Linked DNA regions of Neodiprion lecontei. The protein of the gene in region 2 purifies or fractionates together with the protein of the main gene of each other region. This does not show direct contact. Links are inferred from orthologs where the notes say so. Each region holds a gene or a part of one and is shown on either strand. Other genes may lie near its edges. The genes, in order: nuclear pore complex protein Nup133 and nucleoporin Nup43.

The links.
Region 1: the proteins of nucleoporin Nup43 (region 2) and nuclear pore complex protein Nup133 purify together in Homo sapiens (affinity purification with mass spectrometry; 5 studies listed by BioGRID and IntAct, counting the BioPlex papers as one, with this or other methods). This does not show direct contact. The link is inferred for Neodiprion lecontei from reciprocal best matches to the Homo sapiens genes NUP43 and NUP133.

The regions. Positions count from the first base shown.
Region 1 is NC_060264.1:18,452,066-18,468,255, forward strand, and holds the start of nuclear pore complex protein Nup133, read right to left. Parts: upstream 7,113-16,190; 5' UTR 6,984-7,112; coding exon 6,871-6,983; intron 6,503-6,870; coding exon 6,163-6,502; intron 5,687-6,162; coding exon 5,369-5,686; intron 4,175-5,368; coding exon 4,004-4,174; intron 3,420-4,003; coding exon 3,290-3,419; intron 2,584-3,289; coding exon 2,407-2,583; intron 1,361-2,406; coding exon 1,201-1,360; intron 1,024-1,200; coding exon 852-1,023; intron 176-851; coding exon 16-175; intron 1-15. UniProt on the Homo sapiens protein: Involved in poly(A)+ RNA transport. Involved in nephrogenesis.
Region 2 is NC_060264.1:26,624,523-26,640,427, reverse strand, and holds nucleoporin Nup43, read right to left. Parts: upstream 9,100-15,905; 5' UTR 8,963-9,099; coding exon 8,849-8,962; intron 8,359-8,848; coding exon 8,251-8,358; intron 8,118-8,250; coding exon 7,993-8,117; intron 7,881-7,992; coding exon 7,759-7,880; intron 7,643-7,758; coding exon 7,491-7,642; intron 7,411-7,490; coding exon 7,164-7,410; intron 7,028-7,163; coding exon 6,855-7,027; 3' UTR 6,742-6,854; downstream 1-6,741. Other genes in the region: putative pre-mRNA-splicing factor ATP-dependent RNA helicase PRP1, read right to left, coding at 147-196; mannose-6-phosphate isomerase, read left to right, coding at 10,979-11,296, 11,375-11,690, 11,769-11,936, 12,081-12,283, 12,357-12,563. UniProt on the Homo sapiens protein: Component of the Nup107-160 subcomplex of the nuclear pore complex (NPC). The Nup107-160 subcomplex is required for the assembly of a functional NPC.

The DNA.
Region 1 (16,190 bases), about 8.2 Mb from region 2:
TGTTCAAATACTGACATAAGTCCCTATGATCTGTCCATCGAGGATCGTTGGCTGGGTAATCATCAATCAGATTTTTAGCGACTTTTAAGACTGTTGTGTCCAAAATTGCGTCAATGTCCATTACAGGTTCCTCTTGAAGGGGAAAAAGTCCCGACAATATTTCTTGACATTGAGCCTGTAAAAAATATAAGCTCGTGCAGTAATTGACAACATTAAATTTCGGTTGCTCTGAATATCCTGCACTTCGTGATTCGTCCGACGGCAATGCAATGAAGATGAAGTGACTAATTATAAAAAATTGCAATTTCTTGCGCGACTCTCGCAACTTTTCTGGATCTGGTAATCTTACATATTTGCTTTCTTAATAGAGGTGTGTTAATAGTGATCGAATTAAATCGAAAGAAATAGTGAAATGCGTTTAAAAAATCGAATCGAATATTGGAGCATGCGAATAGTTTGTATTGTTTGAATAGTTAAAATTATTTCTGTAATTCGAACCGTTAGAATTATTTCATGAATTTGAATGGCCACAATTATTCCACTAGTTTTAGTAGTTCAAATCGTTCACATTCCAATCCTGATGTCTCCAGTTTTTTCGTGTTTTGAGAATATTTATAAGATTCTTGTGGATAGAAAATTGAATGTGATTTATAAAAAGAATTAGCGAATTTCAGCTAGTTAAACCATAAATTCGAACAGTTATCAAATCTCAAAATTAAATTATCGTGATTGCAAATGATTGGCACACCTCTAATCTTAATAGTTACAATACAACAAATTCATGTCACAAATGAATTAAATAATTGAAATTTTTGAAACAGACGTTCTCCTCCTTTTTCTATGTATTTTACCTTATTTTGTCTGAGACTAAGAAGGAACGCTGCACTCAATTGCGTTGCACCATCTGAGGTAAAGGTCATTTCCTGCAAATCATTGTTACTCAATTGAGCAGCAAAATTCTCTGCGCCGAATGTCGAATTGTTGCCGCCATAATCGAGGCTGAAATTAGCGTCAGAATAACTCCTGAAAAAGAAAATACGATGTCTTGCTAATATCTTCATTCTAAATGATGCAAGTATTCAAGCGGAGCTTAAATAACAAAAGTGATAGAATCGAATACTCAAATGATTCAAACTATTCATAATTTAAAACTATTTGCACGCTCCCACCAAACAGGTTAGACCAATTTCATCAACATACATGTTGAAATCTTGAGCATTGAAATCCATGGGTATGATCGTAACCAGCCCCAGATTTTTGGTGAAAAGTACCGGAGTTCCCGAACAGAGTGCGCCGCCAAGTATGTTATCTTCACCGCCTTTGACGAGATCTATTTTTTCTTGATCATGTTCTGACATACCTATAAAAATATGGTCAGAAAAATTAACATGACGTACAAATTTTAATAACTCTCCGGCTTTTCTGAACAGAAAAGTTGGAAATTAACTCATTTGCTTTTTTGTACACTGTAGCGTATAATCTTCATTTTATTTTTTTAAGATTCTCTTGAGATATACTGCATAATAAATAACAGTCAAGTATATGAAATAGGCATAAAATTTTCTAATAATTCGATTGCCACTATTTTGTAGAATTATTCTCACATCGCAAGAAAAACGCTAATTTTGAAAAAGACGCAATTTCTGAAACGTTCAAAACATTTCAAAACTGGCCAAAAAGTATTTCATTACTCAAATGAAGGAATTTTCAGTCAATATTTTAATTTTAAAGTGAACAAGGTTAAAAGAGGGGGTGCAAGATAAGAGTGGAAAATAAATGTATAAGGTACATAAAAAGTAGATGTGTAATTCTACATGTCTCCTTGAGGAAAAACAGTAAAGTCTCTCTCATCGGCCTCTTTTAACAAGTAGCTTTGGAACCAAATCCAAACCATTGTAAAAGTGATTTTTTGCAATTATCAAAATATTTATAAGGGTGTCCAGAATTTTTAATCATTCTATATAGAATTTTCAGAGCATCCTGAAAAATCTAGAGTAATAGATTGAGCGGTAAATCTGAACAGTAGTAAATAATTCATAACTTCCACATAAATGAAAATATTACTTTCAGCAAGATCTTAGGGTTTTTACAATTTTGGTGATAATTTGACGCAATTGTTTTAGATGTTCAAAAACGCCGAAAAAATTAGATGTCAAGAAACAGAAAAATACAGGCGCATTACCGTGTACTGAAGTTACAATAAATTTGGGAATTATGACCGTCCAACGCTAGATAAAAACGGATGGAAATTCCCTGTATAAAGTTTACACATCAACAGAATAAACTTATCAAATTGAATGAGAATACTTAAGAACTGGAACTGTTACCTAGCCGTCCGCTTTTTAGATGTTCAGCTTTCATCAAAGAAGTAAATAGTACCGTTTTAAACTAAGAAATGCTACTCACGGTTTGCAATGAGTACCGTCTGTTGGTTGTATATAATGGCCTCCCATCCAGACAAGATGAATCGATACGAAAGTATTGTAGATTCGATGTCATCTCGGTATCGTAAAGGACCAATTTTCAAAGGTATAAACCACTTTAGTGTATTTGTTAACTTCGTATCAACAAGTGGAATTAAACCTACGAATGTACACGTATGCATTGTAGACATATAAAGGTAAAAAGTCTGTATTTTTTACATTAAAAATGTGTCTAAAATTGAATTTATACATCTTACACTTCATACGATTAAATAACCAGGCTTGTGAAGATATTATCAGTTTTAAGTGTAATTAATGACGTTGATTAAATAACTCATACTTTCTGTATCTTTTTTTAAATGTCTGAAAACCACCTTGCCATAACACAGAACGGGGTTTCAGCAAATTTAATACAGGAGCTTCGCCAGACGGAACGTCAGCTAATATTAGACTACAAGGACATACCATTTTTTTCTGGCTTACGCTCTTTCCGTAGAACGATTTCAAATTTTCGGATCATAGAGCCTGCGAATTAAATTTGCTGATACATTCTCATTGCCGTATTCTTATACTTTGATATCCAAGTATTTTTGGTCCCTAGACGTCTATTTAAAAAAAAAAAAATACAACAAAACATTTGATCACCGAAGTCCGACACCAACTTCAGTTATGGAGAAATTTGGGGTTTTTCAACAGAAATGATAGCTTTCGAACATTTGTTTTTTCAATTGTAGCAACTGAATAAATAAACTTTTGAATGGATATTTGGTCGAAAAGCTTGTTAAGTTTTTACTGCTATTTTCGCATTAAAATCAATAAAGATGTATAAAAAAAAATTTGTTTAGTAACAAGTTTTAGGGGATTACCAATCGCAAAGTGAATTTCTGGCGATACTTCTGTGCAACTTGCTGCCATCAGCACTACTACGCCTTCTTCGCATGGCTGCATGTCGATTAAACAGGTATCCATACCCTGAGGCACGCAAGCACTGGATTCCTGTGATGAATAATTGAAAGAAAAATTACCGAAAAGAAGAGAAACTCGACTCAGTTTACAGAGGGAGTTGAATTAGCTTCCGATCCAACCAGAAATAAGTTGGTACGTATGACTAGACAGCTGAAAAAGTGAATGAATTTTGCAATTTCAGAACATCATTTACATATCTATTGTATCAGATCTAATCAATAAGGCGCATTACCATTGACAATCATGCCAATCCTTTTGATCAGTGACATAACTGTCCAAAAATGCTATCTCTAAATTTAAAGTAAATTGGTTTGAGCCGTTTATGAGATTGCGCCAAATATCATGGTCACCTCAAAACTTTTGACGCAGCAAAATCGTTGACGTTATTGTCAATAGCAGTGATTTTCGGTAATTGATTCTAATGAGAAAAAATTTCTAAATGAAGCTCACTGAAGCCACATGCTTTTGAAAACATCAAATCTAATCGAATTGAACAATTGGTTGTAGAAATATAAATTTCTAAGAATAACCCACCCTTTCAGCTATATACTCGTATATAGTCCCTAAAACAGTGCAGAAATCTGGAATTGGGGGTATTCTTTGAAATTGCATACCCAAAATCTTCGTTGAAAACCTTGTGAAACTGTGTGACCGATGTCTTCGTCAAATTCCATCTTCTCCGTCTCACCGTGTGGAAATGACCAGTATTGCAGAGAGGTGCCTGCTAATATCAAGACTCTGGATGCTTTTTCACCAAGCGATGTACAAGTAACCTTGACAAGTTTCTGAAAAACTAAATACATCAGGCAAACTCTTACTGTTCAACACAAGAAAGTGAGAAATCTCATGAAATTCCATGCATTCTAGTGAAATTCAGTGAAATGTCAAAATAGAAATCGGTAAAGTTTCTGGAGATATCTCGCGAGAGTGGAAAAAATTCTGCCATATCTATGTTGTCCAAAACTTTATACATTCCATAAAAACTGATTTTTTTTCTTTCTTTTTTAACTGATGCAGTCTTGGAAAGAATTTTATCAAGTCCTCTGGTCTGGAAAAGACTTCACTTTTAAGCAACCACTGGATACGCAATGCTGAATTCTCCATCAACATTCTGTGAATAAGCAACACATACTTCCAAATAGACTGTTTACTAAAGCACTGATTTATTAAGAAAAATAGATTTTGCAGCCGTCTAGAAAAGTAATTAAAAAGTACCGTCACTAGACAATTGAATCAGAAAGAAAATCGTCGACTGTGACTTTTTACTCAGACGACCGTGCGAAAGCTGCGGCCTGCTAACGTACATGATTGCAGATGCAGAAATATTGAAGGTCGTACCGATATTTCACAAATTCTATCGACATGTGAAAAATCACCTGTTATTGAAAGATTATTTGCTACGAGCTACATGGAATATTTCGCATGAACTTTAATCAACTTAATGAAAATGTGCAACTAGGATTGAAATATCTCTTGCTCCACAAAACCCGAGCACTAATTATTTGAAAATAAATTCATCAATTTGTGTGTATAGCAGATTTAAGGATTAAGGTTTCATAGATATTACAAGATTTCCCAGAATGTTACAGAATTTCATAAGATTTCAAAGGATTCTAGTGATTTCTGGTGGTTTCTAATGATTTCACAAGATTCCACAGAATTTCTCCGGATTTCAAACAATTTGAAAACAGTTTATGAAGTCTCAGGGGATTCTTGTATTTACAAAAATATCAAATATTTTAAATGATTTCAGGAGGTTTCACAGGATTTTACAGGATTTCAGAATATTTCATAAAATGTTAGGAATTTCAAAAAATTTCACTCGATTTCAACAGGTTTCATGGGATTTCAGTAGATTTCCTGAGATTTCACCGTATAATTTCAAAGGATTTCATATGATTTCGTGAGTGGTGGTTATACTATACTTTGAGCCTAGTTAATCCCTCTAAAAATGCTAAATAAATTAAAAAATTCAGTACTGTTTCAGTGACTGGAGATTGAGGCATGGCTCCAAAGATCAAGGAAGACATCCTACGACTTATGCCTCCTAGCCAGCCTTGGCTGGTGCGAAGAACTCGGCAAGAAATGCTGTTTCGTCCACTGGTAAATTGCGGCTGCAAAAGCGCCACTGTGCAAGTCGTCGTTGCTAAAATGCAACCGTGCCCTGGTACGTAAGTTAGACAGTCAACCTCCTGTCCAGCCAATTCTGCGCTTGTTTCCACCGACGACCCCTCATGAGCGACGCTTGACCAGTAGCGAACTACGCCTTCCGGAGATACAGCCATGCAGCTAGGAACCTTGGTATTAAAAAAATGAGAAATATGAGAAATATGATTAATAAAATGCGATATAATAACAACATCCTTACAGAAAGACTAAAATTTTCCAGGTTAAAGTCGAAAGCCTCCAGTAAAAATGAATCGGAGCCTGGTTTCTAAATTTGTCAAATTTTTTTCTCATCTAAATTAATTAAATTACTTGATTTTCTGTTCACCAAATTCTTTATTCTTTATGACCTATATGCTTGAAGTTTCGATGAACCAAGTCTGATCGAAAACCAAACTTTTCTACCAATACTGTGATTAGATGACGAATTTCTGAAAAGTGAATGAAACCTGAGAGGCTTTTGAAAAGTAGAGAATTATTAAAACTGTGGCCGAGTCTTACAGTGATCTACTCGGTATTATTGGAATCCTTTCCGACCAATCTTGAAGCTTGATCAATCGAAACTTCAGGTATGCTATTCCTTGTTACACCTAGATTTACACCTAACCTGATGACCCGGAGTCAGCCAGACAGCAATGCAGTCAGCTTTGTGAGCAAGGTCGCTTTGAGGAAGTAGCAACTCTCGACATTGACTGTTAAAGGTCCGCCTGAGCTTGGGATCATGAATGGTTGTTTTGCATTGCCACACAAGGAGCCTGCGCCCGCAAACCAGCCAAGCCCATCCATCTAAAGACACACTGACGCTGACTGCGGTGTTTCGATCAACAAACGTCAATGCCTCGGTCACAAGAACCGGCAAAGAAGGTCCGAAACTTTCCACGACATGGCCAGCCGTCTTGCATATTACTTGGACAGACTGATTCGATCGCCCCGAAATGCTTATTACTCTGGAATTGAACAATTTATATTCAGATGAGAACAAATAAGCGCATTTTAATTGTTAGCTGGATTTGAAATTCGATGAGAGGTGAAATCTTACGATACTTTATAAGTTCCGCAGTATGTTTAGCGGTGGCTACGCGTGTATGTGCGTTGTTTGTTCAATATTTGAAAAAAATTAACTTACGTTGTTTCACATTACATAGATATTTTTTTGAGGAGGTTTTTGGGCCAAATATCGATACTGGTTATCAATTTTATTACGAGGTTGTCATACACTGAGTATTTAACCAATTACTATATTCTTAAGCTACGAAAATCACGTTAAAAATACCCAAATAAATATTACTGGGATTTCAAACAAGAGCTTACATACCGATACTTGATCTCAAATTGCTTCGAAAAAGTTAAAAATCTAGCAGTGTGGATTGATTTCATTAGACTAGAGTTTATTTTATTTCGAAGACTATTTTCTATGTTCTCAGACATTTTCTTTTTTCTTTCAGTGTTTAATTTAATATTGTCATTTGTTGACCATAATCGAAATTGGTGCAATGTTATAATATCAAAAAATCAGATATGCAATTATGATGAAGACATTGTTCGATTTAATATGTACAATATGGTCTCTTGAATAAAATGAGGACCTGCAGAAACAAATGGCTGGAATCTGATATATTTGCAACCGTCTTTCAGCAATTGGAAACGAAACATTGATACTTAAGCTTTCAGTTATAACTTTAGTAATATTTACTTTTGTATTCTCAAACTTGGTGATATCTCCTCAACTTATGATTATAACAGTTTGGTGAATACTCCAGGGACGACAACCTCATAATAAGACTATTGAAGAGTATCAAGTTTCGTCTACCCAGTATCCCTAATTACCCATCTTAGCTATGAACCATGCTAAGAAATTATTGGTTTACACATGGTTTGGTTATGTAGAAAACTATATTTCAGGGCCATGGAAATATAACTGGGGATTTGAACCGACTGCTTGAAATTCTCTCGGAAATATATCGTATTTTTCTTCATCCAACGAATTCAATCCCAAACATTATTTACATTTGGTGAAGAGATTTCGAAAATTTTTAATCATTCATTGAAGTGGAAATTTGCCGAAATATTTCCCGTATTCTGAGATAAGGATTGCGAAATCAATGATACAGTAGGAAGATTTCTTACGAATTACTCTTCTTCAGGGACTGCGTTAATGACATTCTCTTTCGTGGTGAGGTTAGAGTGTTTCCCAAAGATGCACTCATGCTCGGACGATCCATTTCGAGTTGGTACTGGGATGAATAAATGATGCAAGAAAATTTGGTCTTTGAAACTGGCAAATACGCATCAGAAATTGTAATTCAACTGAATTTGATATTGGTCTGACAGCATAATCTTTTCACAATTTGTTTTGGTACGTTTCAGTGCGCATTTTCGAAGCCGGTGTTCGAACTTCGAATTTCGATAATCGATCTTCATGACCATGATGTAAGGAGTCAAGTAAGGTGTGCTCGATAGGGGACCAATTTTCGTACTAGGTCGCGCATTCCGCCAGTTGAGTGTGCGGCAAGCCGACAGCGCGTGCGCATGCGCATGTACACTTGAGGACAATGAATCTGGGACGGCTAATTTTTCACTGTAGACAGTTGAGTTGGCAACATGAAGAAACCTACAGCGCCGTAGTCAGCTAAGCGCGAAACCATGAAGACTAGAAGTAGGGAGACCGAACGCTGTGTTGGGAACGTGGTCTATGAAAGTGGAGAAAATTTTTAGCGTTAAATCCGAAAAGAGTGCTGTTGTCGCTGAGATAGGCAACACAGAGAACGCTATATCCAACGGTATCAAAATGAAGAATAAGTCAGGTCAAAGCCTTTCTCCCTTGTGAAGTTGTTTGAGTGATGTATTTGTTTTTAAATTTTTGTGTGGACCGTAGAATGAAAAACATGAAAAAAGTTGGACATGATAAGATTCTAACCTTAATAGAATAAAGCACATGGTAAATAATGAATAAATAATCTCAGATTTGACTTGTATGATCCTATTCTGACTAATTGGACCCCCTGGGACTCAAAAATCACAAGCGAAAAGTAACTAGGACCAACGGCAGAGAAATTACGTGGGAAAGAGCTCCTGCAGAAAAATGGCGAAAATTCGAAATCTCGTTTTTTGTCTGTAACTTGAGATACGTTGATCGCAGCTTATTAGGTCTACGCCCAATCGATTTCTCTCGCGAAATTACGTCAGAATAGTGCATGAAAAATTTTAATTCGGCACTTTTCGAACTCTCGAAAATTTTCGCCAAAAATACAAAGGGGTTAGCCTTACTTTTTCTTCGATTTTGAAGCCGAAAGATTTTGGTCTCAGATTCGATGTGAATGACCCTTACCTGACTGATTGGACCCTCAAGAACTCAAAAAAAGCAGCGAAAAGAGCGTAGGACCAACAGGAGAGAAACGGCGAGCGAATAAGCACATGCTGAAAAATGTCGAAAACACGGGATCTCGTTTTTCGGCTGTAACTTTGGACGCGTTGATCGCAGCATGTTGAGGCTGCGTCTACTCGATTTCTATAGCAAAATTACGTCGGAATAGTGCATGGAAGAATTTATTCCGGCACTTTTCAAAATCATGAAAATTTCCGCCAAAAATACCAAGGGGTTAGCCTTACTTTTCCTTCGATTTTGAAGCCGAAAGATTTTGGTCTCAGATTCAATGTGAATGACCTTACCTGACCAATTGGACCCTCGGGAGCTCAGAAATCGCAGTGAAAAGAGCGTGGGACCAACAGGAGAGAAACGGCAAGCGAAAAAGCACCTGCTAAAAAATGTCGAAAACGCAGAATCTCGTTTTCTGGCTGCAACTTGAGATGCGTTGATCGCAGCGTATTGAAGCTCCGCCTACTCGATTTCTCTCCCAAAATTACGTCGGAATAGTGCATGAGAGAATTCATTCCGGCACTTTCCAAAATCTTAAAAATTATCGCCAAAAATACAAAGGGGTTAGCCTTACTATTTCTTCGACTTCAGAGTCGAAAGTTATTAGTCTCAGATTCGATGTAAACGACCCTCACCTGACCAATTGGACCCCCAGGAACTCAGAAAACGCAGCGAAAACAGCGTGGGATCGACAGGATAGAAATCACGAAGGAAAAAGCACCTGCTGAAAAATGTCGAAATCACAGGTTTTCGTTTATTGGCTGTAACTTTTGATGCGTTGATCGCAGCGTATTGGGACTGCGCCCAATCGATTTCTCTCGCAAAATTACGTCGGAGTAGTAGGTGAAAGAATTTATTTCAGCGCTTTTCCAAATCGCGAAAATTTTCGCCGAAAATACAAAGGGGTAAGCCTTGCTGTTTTTTTTTGGGCGGAAAACTTTTAGTCTCCGATTCGATTTGTATGACCCTTTTCTGACCGATTGGACTCCGAGGAACTCAGAAAACGCAGCGAAAACAGCGTGGGATCAACAGGATAGAAATCACGAAGGAAAAAGCACCTGCTGAAAAATGTCGAAATCACGGGTTTTCGTTTTTTGGCTGTAACTTTTGATGCGTTGATCGCAGCGTATTGTGACTGCGCCCAATCGATTTCTCTCGAAAAATTACGTCGGAATAGTGCGTGGAAGAATTCATTTCAGCGCTTTTCATAATCGCGAAAATTTTCGCCAAAAATACAAAGGGGTAAGCCTTGCTGTTTTTTTTGGGCGGAAAACTTTTAGTCTCCGATTCGATTTGTGTGGCCCTTTTCTGACCAATTGGACCCCGAGGAACTCAGAAAACGCAGCGAAAACAGCGTGGAATCAACAGGATAGAAATCACGAAGGAAAAAGCACCTGCTGAAAAATGTCGAAATCTCGGGTTTTCGTTTTTTGGCTGTAACTTTTGATTCGTTGATCGCAGCGTATTGGGACTGCGCCCAATCTATTTCTCTCGCAAAATTACGTCGGAGTAGTAGGTGAAATAATTTATTTCAGCGCTTTTTCAAATCGGAAAAATTTTCGCCAAAAATACAAAGGGGTAAGCCTTGCTGTTTTTTTGGGCGAAAAACTTTTAAGGCTGACGCCGACTAGACCGCGGCGGACGGCGGCGGACGGCGGCGAAATTTTCGCTCATACAGTTATCCATATAGGTGTTCACACTGGACGGCGGCGGACCGCGGCGGACCGCGGCGGACCGCGGCAATTTTTCGCGAGTTCCAGGTTGGGAATATTTCGGCGGTGCGCCGCGCATCGCCGCGCATCGCCGTCGTCTAGTGTGAACACCCGACCGATGCCGAAATTCATCCCAAGTATAAAAATAGGGAAACCTGCGTTACTTTGATGTAAATGGTTATGGTTTACAAGGATTCTTTTCATTCTCTCCGCTGTTCTTGCGAAAAATAAATGTATTCATTTTTACATTTTAAATAAATCCTACGGATATTAAATAAATGTTACGCAAGTAATTACTTCATTTTTAAAGAAATTTAAGTAAATGTGAGTTTTAGAACAACAAGTTATGATCAACGGATTATTTTATGTAAAAAATTTATTTTTTTCTCATTGTTCGGGTATGATGCTGATTTCATGAAGACTGTTTTTTATTTTGCGTATTAATTTTTATGCATAAGAAATGAGAGAGTATATTTTGAGCTAAAATTTATTTCATTTTTACTATACATATATTATATGTATAATAGGGTGTTTCAAAATAAAAAAATTTACGATTTTCCAACGAGCCACACCCGAAATAGTTTAGGTAGAAACAAAAATTCTGGCGAAAGATGAGCATTGTCGGTTGATTTTTAATCCTTTTTTCCTTTTTATCGAATTTATGATGGACAATTGTTAGTAATTTTTTTTCGTGTTAAACACTTCTTCATCTGAGCTATCCATAATGAGTAATCAAGAAGTAGTGGCAAATATGCATGATTATTTATTGTGTGCCCATGACGACTGAGACAAATCGTGGTCATCAGATAATTGATAAATATCTCTTTTTCGTAGAAACAGTATCGGCGGGTGGTCACGCGACTATAGTGGGCGCATCTCACGATAACTGCGCCGCGGTCCGCCGCGGTGCAGTGGGCGTCAGCCTTAACTTTTGAAATGTCCTACCATTTCCGAACACCTCCAACCATCCTATTTACCTATATTACTAGATTAGCTATTATATGAAAAGAGAAGAATTATTCACTTCGAAATGGGATTCTATTCGACGCGCGCTCGATGTATTCCATAACATTAGTATTCATAATTATTTCAACAACTTTTCATTTGCTCTCTCGATCTTGAATTTTCGTAGGCATATAACCAAAACGCTGTTCTAGCTAGTCGAGAGTGAAGTATCTACGTTGGGTAGAGAAGCAAAATTGTTTTTCGAAAAGTATTCGGATGGAAAAAAATTCAGAGTAACTGTAATACATCACGGATGCGCTAATTTTGAACGAGATGAAATGGATGCTTCGTATATGAGATAGTATTTAACGCTGCGTAGTGATTTAAAGACCTAAAAAGGTGATAGGAAGAGAAAGAACGAAGCTTCTTAACACTTCGAGTGTATTTTAACACACATTTGAAAGATACGAGCAAAATTTTTCATCATCCAAGTGTCGCAGAACGGCAGCGTTATCGGCTGACCCGTTAAGTAAAGGATATATCTTCAGTCAACGGCTGACCATCGAAGGGCCTGGCCGCTTGAGTCTGGAATCGGCAGGACAGATAAAGTGTGTATTTCTTGTATGAAATGTGAACACTAGAATCATTATACATCATATCATATCATCATACATCATACATCATACATCGTACATCATACATCATACATCATACATCATACATCATACATCATACATCATCATACCTAGTATTACAGTTCGAAACCAAAGTTTGAATTTTCGGATGTTCGGAAAGTGACGTCACCAATCTAAAATCGGCTAGCCGAGTTCCTCAGTCTGGTAACAACCGCGCAGTAGAGCGGACGGTTGAGAGTCGCGCTCCGCAAACTTCGAGTACCGGGTTCTCAACCTCCCGGATCCCGCGCTTCGGGTCCGCTACGTATTTCGAGTACCGGGTTCTCAACCTCCCGGATCCCGCGCTTCGGGTCCGCTACGCGGTGAAACTCGACTTCCAGGATAAGCGCTCCGTGGTTCCTGGTTCATGTTTACAATAAATTATTTCAATTCGTTTTTCGCGCAAGCTGAAATTCAGTAGCTGTCAGTCCGCTAACAAAATTTCTCGACTTCCAGGGTAAGCGCTCCGTGGTTCCTGGTTCATGTTTACAATAAATTATTTCAATTCGTTTTTCGCGCAAGCTGAAATTCAGTAGCTGTCAGTCCGCTAATAAAATTTCTCGACTTCCAGGATAAGCGCTCCGTGGTTCCTGGTTCATGTTTACAATAAATTATTTCAATTCGTTTTTCGCGCAAGCTGAAATTCAGTAGCTGTCAGTCCGCTAATAAAATTTCTCGACTTCCAGGATAAGCGCTCCGTGGTTCCTGGTTCACGTTTACAATAAATTATTTCAATTCGTTTTTCGCGCAACCCCAAATTCGGTAGCTGTCAGTCCGCTAATAAAATTTCTCGACTTCCAGGATAAGCGCTACGTGGTTCCTGGTTCATGTTTACAATAAATTATTCCAATTCGTTTTTCGCGCAAGCTGAAATTCAGTAGCTGTCAGTCCGCTAATAAAATTTCTCGACTTCCAGGATAAGCGCTCCGTGGATCCTGGTTCATGTTTACAATAAATTATTTCAATTCGTTTTTCGCGCAAGCTGAAATTCAGTAGCTGTCAGTCCGCTAATAAAATTTCTCGACTTCCAGGATAAGTGCTCCGTGGTTCCTGGTTCATGTTTACAATAAATTATTTCAATTCGTTTTTCGCGCAACCTCAAATTCGGTAGCTGTCAGTCCGCTAATAAAATTTCTCGACTTCCAGGATAAGCGCTCCGTGGTTCCTGGTTCATGTTTACAATAAATTATTTCAATTCGTTTTTCGCGCAAGCTGAAATTCAGTAGCTGTCAGTCCGCTAATAAAATTTCTCGACTTCCAGGATAAGCGCTCCGTGGATCCTGGTTCATGTTTACAATAAATTATTTCAATTCGTTTTTCGCGCAAGCTGAAATTCAGTAGCTGTCAGTCCGCTAATAAAATTTCTCGACTTCCAGGATAAGCGCTCCGTGGTTCCTGGTTCATGTTTACAATAAATTATTTCAATTCGTTTTTCGCGCAACCTCAAATTCGGTAGCTGTCAGTCCGCTAATAAAATTTCTCGACTTCCAGGATAAGCGCTCCGTGGTTCCTGGTTCATGTTTACAATAAATTATTTCAATTCGTTTTTCGCGCAAGCTGAAATTCAGTAGCTGTCAGTCCACTAATAAAATTTCTCGACTTCCAGGATAAGCGCTCCGTGGATCCTGGTTCATGTTTACAATAAATTATTTCAATTCGTTTTTCGCGCAACCTCAAATTCGGTAGCTGTCAGTCCGCTAATAAAATTTCTCGACTTCCAGGATAAGCGCTCCGTGGTTCCTGGTTCATGTTTACAATAAATTATTTCAATTCGTTTTTCGCGCACGCCCAAATTCAGTAGCTGTCGGTGCGCTAATAAAATTTCTTTAACTTTACAATCTTCTCATAATCTTTTTAGTAAAATATGTCGATAAAAAAATTATATCAAACCTTACACATTATTTTTGATTTGTTCTCACGCTGAAAATATTTATTAGTATTCGAGGTATAACTCGAGGTGGTTGGCAGTTTTCGTTGGAGGTAGTTAGGGGTGGTTGCGGGTAATCTCGGTGATTGAGGAGGAGGGGAACGAGGATTTGTGCTCGGTGAGTAAAACACTTTTATAATATTTCATGGCAATTGTAATTATATTTTATCTGAAATTTTTCAAACTTCTCATGTTTACATCGAATTATTTCAATTCATTTTTTGCGCAAGCACAAATTCAGTAGCTATGAATAAGCTTATACAATTTATTATATTATTAATTAATTGTTCAATATTCCTATAATATTTAATGGCAATTGTAATTATATTTCATCTGGAATATTACAAACTTGTCACGTTTACAATAAATTATCTCAATTCATTTTTCGTGCAAGCACATATTTAGTAGCTATGAATAATCTTATACAATTTATTATATTATTAAATAATTATTTAATCAATAACTCAATTATATTAATCCTTACACAAAATTTTCGATGTGTTCTTATACTGAAAATATTTATTACTATTCAAGGTATAACCTAAGGTGGTTGAAGGTGGTCGGAGGTGGACGAGGAGGAGGACGAGGAGGGCGAGGATTTGTGCTGGGTGAGTAAAACACTTTCATAATATGTGATGGCAATTGTAATTATATTTCATCTGAAATATTACAAACTTGTCACGTTTACAATCAATTATTTCAATTCATTTTCCGTGCAAGCACATATTCAGTAGTTATGAATAATCTTGTACAATTTATTATATTATTAATTAATTGATTAATTACATTAATCCTTACACAATATTTTTGATGTGTTCTCATACTAAAAATATTCATTACTATTCCAGGTATCACCCGAGGTGGTCGGAGGTGGACGAGGAGGAGGACGAGCTGGACGAGGAGGAGGACGAGGTGGACGAGGAGGAGGCGGGGTGGGTCGTGGGAGAGGACCTCTCCTCTCCTCAGAGGAGGGGAGGGGGAGGGGCAGGGAAGTGGGAGAGGTGGGCGGGGAGGGGGAGGGACGGGAAGGGAAGGGAAGGGAAGGGAAGGGAAGGGAAGGGAAGGGAAGGGAAGGGGAGGGGTGGGGAGGGTGGCGGGGCGGGGGGAGGGAGGGCGGGAGGGCGGGAGGGAGGGAGGGAGGGAGGGTTGGAGGGAGAGAGTGGAGAACGGATATCGATGCGAGCCCGTTAGAGTCAATAGAGCAGTACACCCCCCCCCCCCCGCGCCGTCCCTCCCTCCCTCCCTCCCTCCCTCCCTCCCGCCCTCCCGCCCTCCCGCCCTCCCGCCCTCCCGCCCTCCCTCCCCCCCTCCCCCCTCCCCCCTCCCCCCTACCTCCCTCCCGCCCTACCTCCCCCCGCCCCGCCACCCTCCCCTTCCCTTCCCTTCCCTTCCCGTCCCTTCCCCCTCCCCGCCCACCGCTCCCACTTCCCTGCCCCTCCCCCTCCCCTCCTCTGAGGAGAGGAGAGGTCCTCTCCCACGACCCACCCCGCCTCCTCCTCGTCCTCCTCCTGGTCCACCTCGTCCTCCTCCTCGTCCACCTCCGACCACCTCCAACCACCGCCAACCACCTCGCGTTATACCTGGAATAGTAATGAATATTTTCAGTATGAGAACACATCAAAAATATTGTATAAGGATTAATATAATTAATCAATTAATTAATAATATAATAAATTGTATAAGATTAATCATAGCTACTGAATATGTGCTTGCACGAGAAATGTATTAAAATAATTTATTGTAAACGTGACAAGTTTGTAATATTTCAGATGAAATATAATTACAATTGCCGTTAAATATTATAAGAATATTAATTATTTAATTAATAATAGAATAAATTGTATAAGCTTATTCATAGCTACTGAATGTGTGCTTGCGCGAAAAATGAATTGAAATAATTCAATGTAAACATGAGAAGTTTGGAAAATTTCAGATAAAATATAATGAAAATTGCCATGATATATTATAAAAGTGTTTTACTCACCGAGCACAAATCCTCGT
Region 2 (15,905 bases):
GAGGCAAAAATATGTGTATATATGTGAATAGATGTAAAATTAGATTTTGGTAATGAGAAGGATCGCGATGGAATTTTAACAATGCACATGGCAAGATTTAGTCTTCCAGTTGTTTAACCGAGGTGATAGATGTGCTAGTTACTTACTTCTTTCGTTTGATATATGGATCCACCACTTCAATCCTCCGCTTAGACATCGTGTGATCTTTATTTAAATGTCTAATTTAAACGAGTATACTGTTTACAAATTATTTATGTATGTACACGCAAAGCAGCGTCACAAAATGGCAAAACCAGCGGACATCCGAAGTCAGTGCCTTACTGATCATTAAAAATCTCTCGGCAGTTTTTGCGGCAAGTCCGCGGATAAGACGATACTCCTAGATCTAGCTGGCTGTGGACCAACTAATTAATTCGAATTGTCCGTATCACCAATTGGTAGGTATATACCTATATAAATTAAATATATATATACCCGTGTGTGTGTGTGGTGTGTGCAATATACACACTGGCTATTAATAATTCAATAGGTGAAAAGTATGTTTAAAAGTAAACAAAAAAATTAAGGTACTTGACGCCGACAGGCTACATTATGGGTGCGTTCCTAGCTCCCAGCGCTGTCGACGATCCTTTATCTCTTTTGCACTGCTGAGTTCGTGGGTGGCTTTGCCTCTGTCAAAGGGAGTTTGTTAACGCTGCCAGCTAATTTCGGAACGCATCCTAAACTAGAGTTGTGGCGTCATAGGCCTGCGTCAAGCTATATTTTCAGAGTGTCAAATTGACGCGAATAGCACTACGACGTCGCAGGAAAAGTTGCCCCTGAAAATGCCGCACGTCAAAACCCACGTGATTAGGTCAACGGACCTCAATAACATTTCTATTCGCAGATTTAAGAAATCTAGGATTACTAATTGCAAGTGTGAAAAAATGGTGAAAATGAAGAAGCAAGATGAAGTAGCTCATAGCGTGTTCTGACTGCGCGCAATTTATTCCTCTCGCAAAATTACGTCGATATAGTGCATCAAAGAATTCATGCAACTATTTTTCAAAATAGGCCAAATTTCGACCGTCTAAATACAAAAGGGTATAGCCTTGCTTGTTTGCGATTTTCAGAGCTCGGAAAATTTTCGTCTTACAATCAGAATCTGTTCAAAAGCCCTTTCTGGACTAATTGGACCCCAAGGACTGCATGCAAAAAAGGTATTTATTGGAGCATCGTAGGATCAACACAAGCTGAGAATATACGGAAAAATATGATGAAACTTATTTTGGTATTATTCATTTTATTCTAAGTTACATGCAATAGTAACAATACAATATCATACATCTCGCATCCTGCACAGGTGCATTGCCCCTACACACAGGTTGGAACTTAAATTGCGTACACAAACTACCTTAATTACTATCTCATACAGCATTGCTCATATTCTGCTTCGTGGCTTAAATGCAATGTATTTCGCAGAATTTTCCCCTTACTTGTATCGTCGACTGAGAATGTATAAAGTCTGATAATCTGGGATATTTTCACTGATATATATTAATACCTATATCAGTGGTTATTTTGCGTAACAGTTTGCCGGGTCGGGTCGGTTTGAGAGTATTAGCAGTTTCCCGTATTATCAACCAATTAGCAACTGACCACGCCGGTGAAAGAAGTGCCTCATAACCTACACTATCGCCTGCAAAACGTTGGTAACATACCTTCGTCATAGTGAAGTTGAAAATTTGACAAAATCTTGTTCAAGAAATGTCTGTTATGAGTGGTCCGGGAATTCATACTTCGCCTGACGTCGCATATTACGGCAAAGCTCTAAACATATTTTGATCGCGTTGCGCGTAGCTTACGTGGTGTTTTCACCCGGCCGTTGAGACCATAGGGATACATAAAATAAAGCATAAACAACGGGCTAAGCGTCCCGTCAACGGATTCGAATCGGTTCTCTAAAGGACAGAAGATAATAATTCTTCCGCCCTCTGTGTCGGTCTGCTCATGGAGTGGGGGGCCACGAGAGGGAAAAAACAGCTAGGTGGGCGCAGGCGGGCGTGTGCAGCTACCCCCACTCCATGGGAAGAGCAGCATAGAGGGCGGGAGAATTATTATCTTCCGTCCTTCACAGAACTGATTTAACTCTCTTCTGAACGTCGTGCGGAATCAGTCGTTTCCGAGAGATGAGAGCGGCGTAATGTGTACGCAGGATTATTTCAACATTCAGACCGCGTTGTTCGATCAGTGTACTTGCACCATACTCATCTGTGAACAATACACGAAGAGTAGCGTGTAGCTTGAAGAGAAACCGAGTTACTGAAATGAAAACATGTTCAAGGTGAATTTCGTGTCTCGAGTTTCCATTGTTTTGTGTACCTTTAGGTATCAGTGATGTCTATTTTAGCATCTGTGCGTCGTGTGTCAGTTTCATTTTATTTTTTTTTTGCTGATCTTCGGTAAATGCGCAGTTGTATAGTTAAAAAGTTTATTCAGTCGGTTCAGACAGCTACAGCACACAAAGTGAATGTAGCCTCGAGTGTTATTGCGGTGCGGATTTTTGGACTATGAGAGTGACGATCTAAATTACGTGAAACGTGCTTCGCTTCTCCAATAAACTTCAGATGTTGCACGAACTACTACATGTAAAAGTGTGGAGCAGCCCAGAGTCGAGGTAACAATACTTATTTTCATTATTGTTTGATAATTCAAGGTGGTACATACAAAGCCGAACTTTTGTTCTTGCATAACATGCAATGAATACGAAATTGGACAACAGTAATAATTAATTTGCAGACTGAAAAGCCATTTTATTAAATTAATTGAAATGTTCTGTTTTGTTTTTTACAGATCTAAGCAGAGACTTCCGAGTTATTTTTCCATTCCTCGGCAATGTTGGTGAGTTGCACGTGTTAGATTATGGGTATTTCCCTGGGATTCCTCTGTCACGTGGCGTGGCGGTAACAATTGTTGCACAAATCTTCGATTTCTTAGCTGCATGGATAGGCTCATTCACGATCACAACTTGCTTGACCTTTAGTCGAATAATTTTTTCCTTCGCAATTCAATTTATCGTAGCTTACTTAAAGTTATAAATTTTGCACGTTGCTAAAAGTGGAATGAGTATCGCGACAGGCAACCATCACTTACTCGGCACTCGCGAGATCGAATTGCGTTTCACACTGCTGTAGTAATCTACGTTTGACTTTACCGATGATGTCGTTTAAGTGGTGGGTTCACCTGAGGTTTGAACGTATTCAATTATTCACATTATTGTTAAATCGATAAAATTCCAAAGGCTGGCATAACGTAACGTAATGAAATTGCATCTTATATTATGCATCATTTTCAATCTTTAAACAGCCAACAAATATTGATCAACTGCAGGCTTAGCTCGCTTAGAAAAATGCTAATTGGCATACAGGACGTTTTTAATCAATTTTACAAAAGGTTAATGTACCGATAGTCTGCCAAGATTTACTACAATATTAGGGTTGGCGGAATGCAACTGCGATACTATATTCTGAGTAGGCAGACTATGATACAAAAACATTTTGCTCCCAACAGGTAACCAACGAAAATGTAAGTCGATGACCACGGCGCAAATGATGAAGAATGACGTGTGTTGGAAAAAATGGAGAATCGTTTAGATCGAATATAGGTAACCGGGTAGGTAGGTGGACGTTTTGGGACACGTCGCGGGGCTTATGCATGCGTGTGTGAGTCTCTTTTCCGTTGGGTGGTTGCGTTGGGAAACAGGCAAGGGTAGGTAGGTTGCGATGTACCGTGATGTTACTAACTTTTATAATCCACAGCGTCAAACGATCACAGAAATTGTTTACCCAAATGACTCCGTATTCGAGTCTCTCGATCATTTGTGAGCATTTGAATATTAAAGAGATTGAATTTCCTATTTCTTGTCGCTTTGCAACCATTTTTCAATCGTCACTCAATTCAATTCAATTCAATTATTTAGTCATTAGCGACCATTATTGCATGAGGTTGATCTCTGTGATCGTCTGAATGAGCAAAACGCATCTCTAGACCATCTATCGCGTTCCGTGGTACGCTAGATGGAGAGAAATGCTGAGCTCGAAGACTTCGCGTCGAAGAGGACCGCCGACCGTCACGCCACACAATAATGCATGCCCTCCAACCTCCCTCCCGATTTCGATTCGATTTATGATCTGAGAAGAACAATCCGCATAGCAATGTACTTAATTCAAAAAGATACAGATGTGGATTGGGTTTCTACAGAATTTTTGGGACAAGTCCCAGGTAATACAAATTTTTTGACAGTTTAATCTGTCGCGCCTTATTGCGCGTAGATTAATCATGAGAATTGGACGCAGCCTTTTGCGCGTAAATTAATAACGGGAATGGGACACGTTTTTTTATTCGTCGATTTTTCAAACAGTATATAAAAGAGTTACGCACTCTCGATGTGCTGATCTTTCAGCTCTTCTGTCAATTTTTTTACAAATAATAAAGTTTTCAAGTTCCACGGTGTCTTTTGCGCGTGGACTTGATATCTTTTAGTTATGAGAGAAAGCGCAGCATTTGAAACCCGGCGCTCAACGCGCTGGTACAAAAATCTCGATAGTGTACAGTGATAGTGGAAAATCTTGGCGTAAGTATTTATGAAATATATCTGAAATGTACAGAAACACTTATTTAACTGATCGCATTATTTTCTGTTTCAGGGCAACTTGACCAATTTTTTTAACAAACGCACTGAGAACTAAAGAATTTTCAATCGAAAAAAATATTTACTTCAATAACTCAAAGCAGAGAGAGATGTCTATTTAAAAAATTTAGAATGTTTTTTATTGATCAATACAATGAATAATCGAAGCAACGTATATTAAAGCGAATATGTTGGACTCAACCTATTTTTTGTCAGTACATGGACTTATGTGATTGTGCTAACCATATCTTCGTCTGTTTCAGCTAATCAAACTTTTTGTCTATTTCAGCTAATACAACTTTCAGTCTGTTTCAGTTAACCAAACCTTTTGTGTGTTTCAGCTAATCAAACTTTCTGTCTCTTTTAGCTAATCAAACTTTTTCTCCGTTTCAGTTATCAAACCTCTTGCCTGTTTCAGTTAATCAAACTTTTGTCTGTTTCAGCTAATCAAACGTTCTGTCTCTTTTAGCTAATCAAACTTTTTGTCCGTTTCAGTTATCAAACCTCTTGCCTTTTCAGCTAATCAAATTTTCTGTCTGTTGAAACTAACTAATTTGTCTCTTTTTGGTTTATTATATTTTTTACTTATCTAAGCTAAGTATATTTTTGTCTGTATCGATATATGTCACTAATTATATTTTCATATGTTTCAGGTAAATGAGTTTTATTGACTGTACTACTGAAAAATTAACGTTACCATTTTTAGATTTAGGTTTGGTTCAGGTCTGATTTAGTTGTCACCGATACATAGATTTAGCGATGTAGTTCAGAATCATCATGATCACAAAGTGTGGTCAAATTTTTTCTCCTGCAGTTTTTTTAAATGGTTATACAGTCTTTTATTGCGATTGTTTTAGTCTCAAGAGTTATTTTTCTCGAATCGCTTATAGGTCATGTTCGGTTTGTATTTCACTGTAGAATTATACAGCTCCGTCGTATTTGGGTGGTTGTGCTTATACTCCTCCGATTTGTTTTCATTTCTTCAAAGATTTCTGCATCGTCTTCCGGTAGGTAAATGCCAACGTCTTACAGCGATTCGCGTTTTCGATCTTGGTTTAATTGATTGTTTTGCATATTTACTGAATTCTCCATTTTAGTGATTATCTCATACATCATAAGAAAAAAAACCGAACATCCAAAGATCAGCGTTCGCTTACAACATAAAAACAATCACCTTTCATCCATAATTAAAACAATGATCTTCCATCCATAATTAAAACAGTCATCTTTAATTTATAATAAATAGTCAGCGGGCCATACTAACTGAAAAATTTCGAACAAACTGCGAATATACGCGAGTACAAATTGATTGGGAAAAACAGTACACCATAATTAACACGTGAAACATAGTTATCCGCAATTTGTCGAAGAACGTAAGATCGATCTTGCTATTATTCTCCGTGGAGTAGGCCTACTGGGGATACCACGTAAGAAAAAAAAACGCGCCGCGTGCTCTACCGCTTGCGGTGGTGTGGAAACGAGCATGAGTGAACTTATTTTCACTGGTCAAATGCTAACATATTGTAGTTTTTCAAATGAGAATTGTATTCTTGCGTAAATTTAACTCATTGTCAACAAAACTCGTGCCTCGATAATATTCCACGCATGTGGAATCGTAATACCTTCGGATTTCTCTAGTTTAGTCAGAGTGAATTTCACGTAAATACATTTTTGTCTTTGATAAATTTGATTTCTTAATTAAAGTCAAGAAGGTGCACATACGTTACCTTCGGCAATTCCAACATCTTTCTCCCCTGCTTGACCTTCCGCAATCGACACGAGTTGTTACAATAAAACACGAGATTTGAATACCAAATGAGCACATCTTCCATGACAAACGATAAAGAACAAAAAAAATTATTAGGTGTTACCGGAAAAATGCGGAAATTCCGCATAAAATAGTATCGACTTTGTCGGGAATACATATTCTCAAACTCGAAATTCGTAACAATCAATACGTATGAGCATCTCGTACAGAGGGATGCGATCGTTCTTTTCTAGTTGTATCGCATAATTTGTCAAGTAAATTTCAGCACAAAGAGATATGCGGCTGATAATTGTTATAATTATTATGAGATTGAAAAACGAGTGTCAATTTTATTAGAAAATACAGACGGCAGCGTTTAATTACAGTTATTATGAAATAAGACACAATATTGTACAAGTATATCATAAATGCAGTTGTTTACACTGCGATATTTTTAATGACATACATAGCTTCGTTGTCACAGCCAAAGAGTAATGTGGACCTGTCAACATCGATTGTATTGATTGGCTTGTGAAGCGTTGCACACATTGACGTTACATTCACTTTTCCTTTTGTACTGATTGTGTTGAGCCAATGCGTGTCCCCTGAATCTGTAATATAATTACATATATTAATCATAATTAAAAAGAAATTACAGTGACTTCGTTGTCTCAAATGATCCAATCTTAAAAGTAGAATAAAGTATAGTAACAGAAAAATTGAGAACTCGCGCGCTATAACAATCACCTAATTTCAATTTAGTGTTCTGTGCATTGTTCCAGTGCCATAGCTGTCCACTTGACGAGCACGAAAACAAATTTTCCGGTCTATCAGGATGAAATTTTATTTCGCTGACCGAGCTGGAATGGGCATTTAATTGAGAAACCGGATATGTGTTATGCCTCAAATCCCACACTGTCAGGCTACCGTCACCGCCACCAGCAACTACAATGTGTCTCTGTGTAGGATGATGTGCTAAACTTGTGGCTTCGGTCTGAGAAAATAAATAGAACAAATTTTGACTTATGAAATCAGTTGCCACTTCGACAAATGAAAAAGTATTTAAAATCTTACCTTTGTATTTGCAGAGAGTATAAAAGTAGTAGAGGGAACATCCTGGTTGTTTCTTAAATCCCATACTTTCATGTGCCCCAATAAATTTCCTGTCAAAACTTCACTATGCCTTAGAAAATCAACACAGTGCATGGAACAGCTATCTGATTTTTCTAAAAAAAAAATAAAGTAGGCAAAAATTTGGCAAGTTAGATACAATTTTGCCAGACAAATGAATATTCATTAGTGATTTTAATCTGATATTCTTTTTTACTTTCTGTTTACTTACCAATTGTTCTCACCGGAATTTTCTGATTGGCTGTTAACAAGTTGATCGTACCATCTTCTCCCACTGTGACTATGTCTTGCTCGAAAGTTGAGATGGCCGTACATGAAGCGTAATCCGATGCTCTGAAATTGTTCAACGTAATGTTTAGAGTCTAATAAACGGATTCAGTCAAATGTCGGATTCTCAGATGCTTGAGCAAAGGGAATCATATAAATGGGAAATAAAATTTCTTACGGAAATTTATGTAAAAAATTCCATGACAACCGTTCCTTGAATTGTGCATAAGGATTTTCTTGAATTTGTAACAATTGTACAGTACCAATAGAGGATGATGCCACGAACAGATCCTTGCTGATAAACTTAAACACAGAAAATTATGAAAATGAAAAACCAACTTTGTTTTAGGATGAAACACCGAATATAATTTACAAAATTACTGTTTATAGCGTTGTAATATCTAATCGTTATTTAATGCTCATCTATACTTATTACCCTTAATTCTGTAACGTCGCCGAGAAATGCGTGGGATGATATTATCACGGGATAAGACTCGTCGTCTTCTTCATTTGTGTCGAATGTCCAATATGTTATATGGTTCACCTGTGTGATTTGATCATATTATAAAAGCTGAATGAAGAAAAATTCAAAACGCTATGGCTATTTGCATAGCAGAGTGACAGTACTGATGGATTCAGGTTCTACCCTTAGTTGCACTGTTTTGAAGTCCATGAACATGATAGGTAACGTATATGATGGTTTTGGACAGCGATAAAATACGATTACTCATGAACTTTGGCAACGGTATATGAGAGCGCAAATTAATCCTAAGCTTAACCCCTGTGTAAACGCCCACATTCAATCAAAAACTCCGGGTTTCTTTCTTTGTTATTACAGTTTGCTTGACTGTTGTGATTAATTTGCAAGAAATGAAGAAACACGTAATACCAGAGAAATACATCTAAAGTATCGAAAATTCGTGAATCAAAAATCATATCCAAGAATGTAAATAATACTTTAAATTGCTGTAAAACAAACTACTGAATAATAAATAGGTGATCGGCGTAATTTCTAACCTATCACCTAACCCTACCGGATTATCCCAGCTTCCAGTTAAAAACGATTTTGCTTCAACAAAGTCCTCGGGTTTCCATCTGATCTTTGATACTTTTTCGGAAATAAATGTTCCGTGAATATTTTCACTCATTTTAATTGCCACAACCTGGATATCTTGTATCTGCTTATTTGAATTCTGATTGTTGAGGTTATCAAAACCGTTTTTCCCTCAAACCATTCTGCCACTACTCGGTTCTCGACAAAAACTGCGCACGCATCATGAATAAAGGACTGTGGCCCACTGATCTCATTTGGAAACGAAAGGCTTAAAAGAAGCTACCGGTTGACTGATTTTTAAATATTAACCAATCATATGAGTCTTTCAATACTTTCGTTTCTGAAATGTGGTAAATAAAACACACCCACCGAGGATGGGTGTTGATTTGGAGTCAGGTTAAAGGCGGCCAGTCGGGTTGAACTTTGATGTATGTACCATGAAATAGTTGTTGCAAATTTCTTTGATACTAATTTATCAGTACTATTGTTTTCTGTAATTATCTTTTAGTTACATCCGGTTCACAACGCTAATCGAACTTTAACCCGACTCAAACGACTGACACTCTCTGTCACGTCTAGCAAATACAGCCTCATTGCTCCGTTTTCCAGTTGTTATACCTATGTTAAAAGTATAAAATACGAGCTATATTTTGACTATTTGAACAAGAATAATATTCTGACTTTGTGAACTGTTCTTAATCTTGAGAAAACATAAAAAGATTCATAGCGATTCAATCTATAGTATCCGTGATTCAATTTCCGAGCAATGAGGTTTTAAATACTGGATTCAACGGGGCACCCAATCACAAATCGTAAACAGTCAAAGGGTCTTATCATACGACGTCATCACACGTGAAGGGACATGATGACGTAGCGTGTGACGTGCTTTCCAAAAAAATTGAATAGCGCTGGATGAAAGTCATACATATATACCTATTTATGCTAGTGTAGGTTAGGTAGAGGCGTAGGCGAGATGCATCACGTGTATGCGTACTTATAGCACCCGCACACATACGCATACATACATAGGTATACAGCATGCATGCATACGTCATCTAGTATTCTGCGTGCGTGTGCTCCAGTGTCCGTAGTCGCAAGTTGGTCGCTGGGCTGTGTTCCGCGGTTAGAGAGCCGAAAAGTTTTTCGACATATTCAACGCCTTTCGCAACACATTATCAACTTTATCTTTTAACGAAAATCAACTCCATAATTACAGTCAGCTCAGTTTTTAATCAGCGTATGCGACACTGACCTAGCGCAGGTCAGTGATCTCGTAAAATTACATTGAGATGTTAACTTTACAACAACTTTCCGGCTACTAGATACTAAACGAACCTGCTTCTCATCGAAGCGTCTGTAAATTGATTGTGAATAGTACATCCCATCGATATACAATTCGTCATATTGACACATGTATTCACGTCCGTTTGATATCCGATATTGCACTTTGGACAGGTTGTTAATACAACACTGTTGTGATCGATTGCGAACGTATGTTACGAAGGACACGTTTGTGAGTCAATCGATCTCTAACCTTACGTATGTTTAGGATGTAATGTGTTTATAAATGTTATCTTATCACCGGTGGCATTACTACTGTTATTACATCGATGTAAACGATTTCTATTTCCTTATAGTGCATCGTGTTTGCGCGATACGTCAACTGCAATTTAAGTTCAAAATCTCATCCACCTAATTCTCTGTTACTTGCAAGAAAATCAACATTATTATTTCCTTACTTGCCACTTGGTCATTATTACGCTGAAATATTTCGGTGAAACACCTTTGTACACATACATTATGGTCATTCATCTTTTGCTAATATTAACACATATCTTTCCATGTTCTCTGAAGTCCTCATCTGTTTTCCCAAACCAGTCAAGTATTTAATTTTGTATTTAATCAGCTGGATAATTGTGTTCTATTAGCTCACCTCTCATTCCACGTAGTTATTCTCAAGTGTTGACGTGTACTCGTTAGCAGTTTAAAGAATTTCCCAAACAGGCACCTGTCTATTATTTTGTAATCATTATCACAATTATTAATAATATTACTGTTATAGTAATTTATAACTTCTCTTGTCTTAATTTTTAGAAACTGAAGCAACAAAATGGAATTAAAATGTTCAGTCCAGTCATACGAGTGGGGGAAACGTGGTATCGAAAGTACTGTAGCAAATTTGGTCAAGGCAGCAAATCCAGATTTTTCTTTAGACGAGAGCAAGCCTTACGCAGAGCTTTGGATGGGCACGCATCCCAATGGACCATCATATTTGAAGGAGGGGAACAAATTATTGGCCGAATATATCGAAGAGCACAACCATATGCTGGGCAATGGTGTAAAAGAAACGTTCGGCCCTCAACTGCCATTTTTATTAAAAGTTTTGTCGATTAACAAGGCTTTGTCAATCCAAGCTCATCCCAACAAGGTGAAAACTTTATTTCCCACCGATGCCGACCATTGAATCGAAAATTTTGAGTCTACAAAGTAATAACACTGGTTTTAGGAAGATGCTGAGAGGCTTCACAAGCTGAACCCTGGCGTTTACAAAGATCCAAATCACAAGCCAGAACTAGCGATTGCTCTTACCCCGTTTGAAGCTCTGTGCGGATTTCGTCCAATATCTGAAATCAAGCAGTTCTTTAAGGTTGTTCCAGAATTCCGTGCTGTTGTAGGAGAAGATAAAATATTGGAACTGGTTAATTCGGATGAAGTAGGTCTTCATGCAGCTCTCAAAAACTGCTTCAAAAATATTATGACCTGTGATCCAGGATTTGTTGCATTGCAACTCAAAAAATTACTGAACAGACTATCGCACTTAGGTTGGTATTCAGGCATCTGTGTTGAATAATCTTGTAACTTCTACCCATGATTTTACAGGCAAAGTTGTCTTGTTTCAGATGAATCAGGTAGGCAAGCCCTCAATGGCAGCTTGCTAGAGAAATTACACTCTGAGTTTCCTGGAGATGTTGGATGCTTTGGTGTTTACTTGTTTAATTGGGTAACGCTACAGCCTGGGGAAGCTTTATTTCTAGGACCTAACGAGCCTCATGCATATCTTTCGGGTGGTGAGCGAGTCCTTCCAAATTTCTGTCATTGAAATTTTTCAGTATCTACTTCTTTATTCAGAAATATTTTCAGTTTAGTAAATACACATTCTTTGTTTTATTATGGTAATAATGAATATAATAACTTTTGCTATTTATATTTAGATTGTATCGAGTGTATGGCTTGCTCAGACAATGTTGTAAGAGCAGGATTAACCCCAAAACCAAAAGATGTAAATACATTAGTAGATATGTTGACATACAACTGTGAGCCAGCATCTGCCAAAAGGTTTCAACCGTCACGGGAAGATGAGTGTACAGAAATATTCAGACCTCCAGTTCCTGATTTTGCAGTTGCAAAGATTACTGTGAGTGCTTTATTATTTTATGTCAATTCAGCGTAATATCAATGTACACAAGTTTAATCGAAATATGTTGCAGATACCACCTGGAAGAGCAGTATATAATTTAATACCAAGAAGTACAGGCAGCATTTTAATTATTGTCAATGGCAAGGCAGAGATTGGCCCCTCCATAGTTCTTACACGAGGCTCCGCGATATTCATACCAGCTAACGAGAAGATTACCATCAAAGTGCTATGCGGTTGTCATCCAATGCTCATGTTTCAAGCAATGGTAAACCTTTGAGGATAACAAACGCCTTGTAATAAAATTGGAACATATGCGACTTATGGACACATTCGGGAGATTAGATGATGTCTCATATATGAACAGCGTTGGGCTAGGTACATTCCATACTTTCTTAAAATATGTAAGTATGGAAATGTAATAGAAATCGAAGAACTTATTAAAAAAAGTGGCATTTGTTATCTACATTACCCATCAGAGCAATTGCATTCATACCGTGCACAACACTGTCGACTTTTCAATTTACCGATAATATTGCTTTGAATCTTTACACAGCGATTAGTGTCGGTGAACTGGAAAACTCACATCGATTACAGATTCGATCATCCAATATGTTCCTAGTCGGTAAACTTGCTTGTTTGTACCTGATAATTGTGAAAGTTTTTCGAAATGAATTTTGCTCTATCAATCGTTTTGATATTGTAACATACAGACGATAAGTTGGTGTAACAAGCTTACCACTCTCGATGAGGGTATAAAGTAATCTTACAACGTCACTACTAGATATATTGACGAAATCTCGAATAAAAGTTTTAGATTGATCTATATATTTGATTGAGACTTTTTCGATTTCAGTTGCATTCAAGTGTTGAGTTAAATCTAAAGAGTCGAAGCTTCTCCCGAGAATGCAAGTCTCAATGTCAAACAGACGGAAGCCCTAATTTCTAAGCATCGTGTAAATTGTGTACATATTTTTAATGAAAGCTTTGTGCATTGTCATCGTGTAAGCCGTTTGATAAGAATTTTATCGACATTTTTGGTTGTTTCTTTTCGTATTAACTTATTAGTAAGAATATATTTTTTTAGCTATTAAACAAGAATGACTAAACCCATGATGCTGTAGATATACCTCCAGTACTTTGCCCATTAATTTTTTTCCGTTTGTTTGATATTTACAGTCCCAGCTGCGGAGTCGTAGTCGAGAAACTTCCGATTCTAAGTCAGCATAACACAGCGATTTTTCAAATTTGCCTACCAAACGAGTCATATCACGATCCGTTTGATATGACTCCAGAGTCCGGGCAAGCTCAATAGTGAAAAGTGTAAAAAAAAAAAAAAAAAAAAAAAAAACGATTTCCGCAAAAGTCTTTTTTCTAAAAGATTTGTCGTACGATTGTCATGTCGAGGTTCTGCAATGCTTAACGCTAAAGTTCATTGCAAAAAGGTGCGTGCGTATCAATTCTTATACCAATTCTTGTTTGTGCCATATTAATCCATCAAGTTGTTTACACAATTAGTAATTCCGTATTATTCACCAGCAATCAATTGTCAGAAATCACTCTACCGGTGTTGTACACAACAGGTATAATATTCTACTTGATCATCACGCTACGTATGTACAGTAATTACAGGTTGCACGTATGTAATAACAGTCCATGTATGGTTACCGTGTACATACACCTACCCATGTGCGTTGAAATCCCCTGCAGAGGACTCATTAGATGGCTGTAATAAAACCCGATGCTTTATTGTAGTCGTCTATTTGTTGCCGCGGACAAGTGTGCGCGAGTGATATTAAGACGCACACAACTGTGGCCATTCCTCGTTTGCGGGAAGACTTGAACCGCGGTATAAAACAAGTCGTTCATCAGATTCAACAATCACACGCCTCAGCGCATTTGCCAAGTTAGTGTTCCTCAAATATTACAAAAATTTAAAAGAACTCTGAAATTAAATTGAATTTAAAAAAACTTTATTGTGACAATATTTTATTCGTAAATTAGATGCACAGCGAGATTTACTGTATCCTTTAGTGAATTATTTTAGTGTCATTTCAACATTCAGACATTGAGTATTGAAGAATTGATCACGGTTTTTCACCGAGGCGAGCCTTACATTAATTGCACGGTTGGTATAATATTCAATTTCAATATCGAAACTATCGTGGCAAGTATAATTATTTAATGAAAAACGAACGCGATCAGCGATTATACAGTAATCTGCAGTATACAGAGTGTTTCATTTTGAAACTAAACAATATACGAAATATTGTTTACTACAAAATATTCATGGTTTAAAGGGGGGGGGGGGGGGGGGGGGAATACGAGAGTGTCAGACTTTTCGTTAGTGGAACACCCTGGGTCAAGTGAAGGTCAACTTGGTTTTTTTTAAATATCATTGCCCTGAGAAGTATCAACGATAAGAACAAGATACCGTTAAATAAGTACACACGAACGATTTGAACTAAAGTTGGGAAATAAAAAAAAAAAAATTGCGCTATTTTTTGGTAACAAGTACAACTTTATAAACTTCACGTAGAGAACTATTCTTATAGTTTCCGGTATTAGAATACTCGAGTCCTCAAGTATTTCCACTGACCCATCGACACTGCTGGGTAAAATGCTTCAATTAAGCTACTTAAAATAAGAAATTGATAATGCTTTTCAAAACATAATTTAAATGGGTAAATGTGAATGATTACTTTAACAACATTTAAAATGTTAAATGCAAAATGCCATTTATATTTTAAATGAAACCATTTCAAATATTACCCAACAGTGTCAGACGAGTTTAGTTGGTTAATTCGTAGTACTTTATCACCCAGAATTTGATACCCTTTCAGATGCCTGTACAAAAAATATACTTTTCCAGCTAGGGGAAAAAAAAAACAACATTTTTTCGTATATTGTTTAGTTTCGGAGTAATCTGGGACGATCAAAATGAAATACTCTGCAGTTGTTCAGTTATCCTAAGGATAAATAGTCAGGACGTGATACATCATCGCATATCCGGGATTCCGATGACGATCACTCGTCGTCAGGTGTTACTAACTACTGTAATCCGCATAGTGTGCATGCAATAGAATAATTTGGTCTGAACATGAAATACGTTTTTATACGGTCAGAAATATAGGGAGGAAAACAATTATCTCTATTAATGTAAGCGGACATAAAAGAAGAGTTAAACGTTTCTTCTAAAAAATAGTTTATCGACCGGCGTGACTGCATAAAGTTGGAAGAAATAGTACAAAACTCATCAGGATACAGTTACGTACTTAAATATCGCTAATATGTATGAGTGCCAATTTAAGTACGTACAGCGTTACCGAAGACTACCATCAGCCTCGGGTTATTCTCATCTGGCATGTTTTTTTTGTCAGTCTATAGATATTAATGATACAATATTCCCAACGGATTTGCATTTTGGCCTTCACCTTGCGAAGATATACATATATGTATACTTGACGTTATACGTATAGAGAGGGCAATTATCTCAATGTATTACATTTACCGCGGTATTATACAGCAATGGTAATCAGCTTTCGGGTAGTGTTCATCTTTTGCCGAGCTATAATAAGTAGGAAATAAATTGAAAAAAAAAAACATAAAAATTATAACCGGA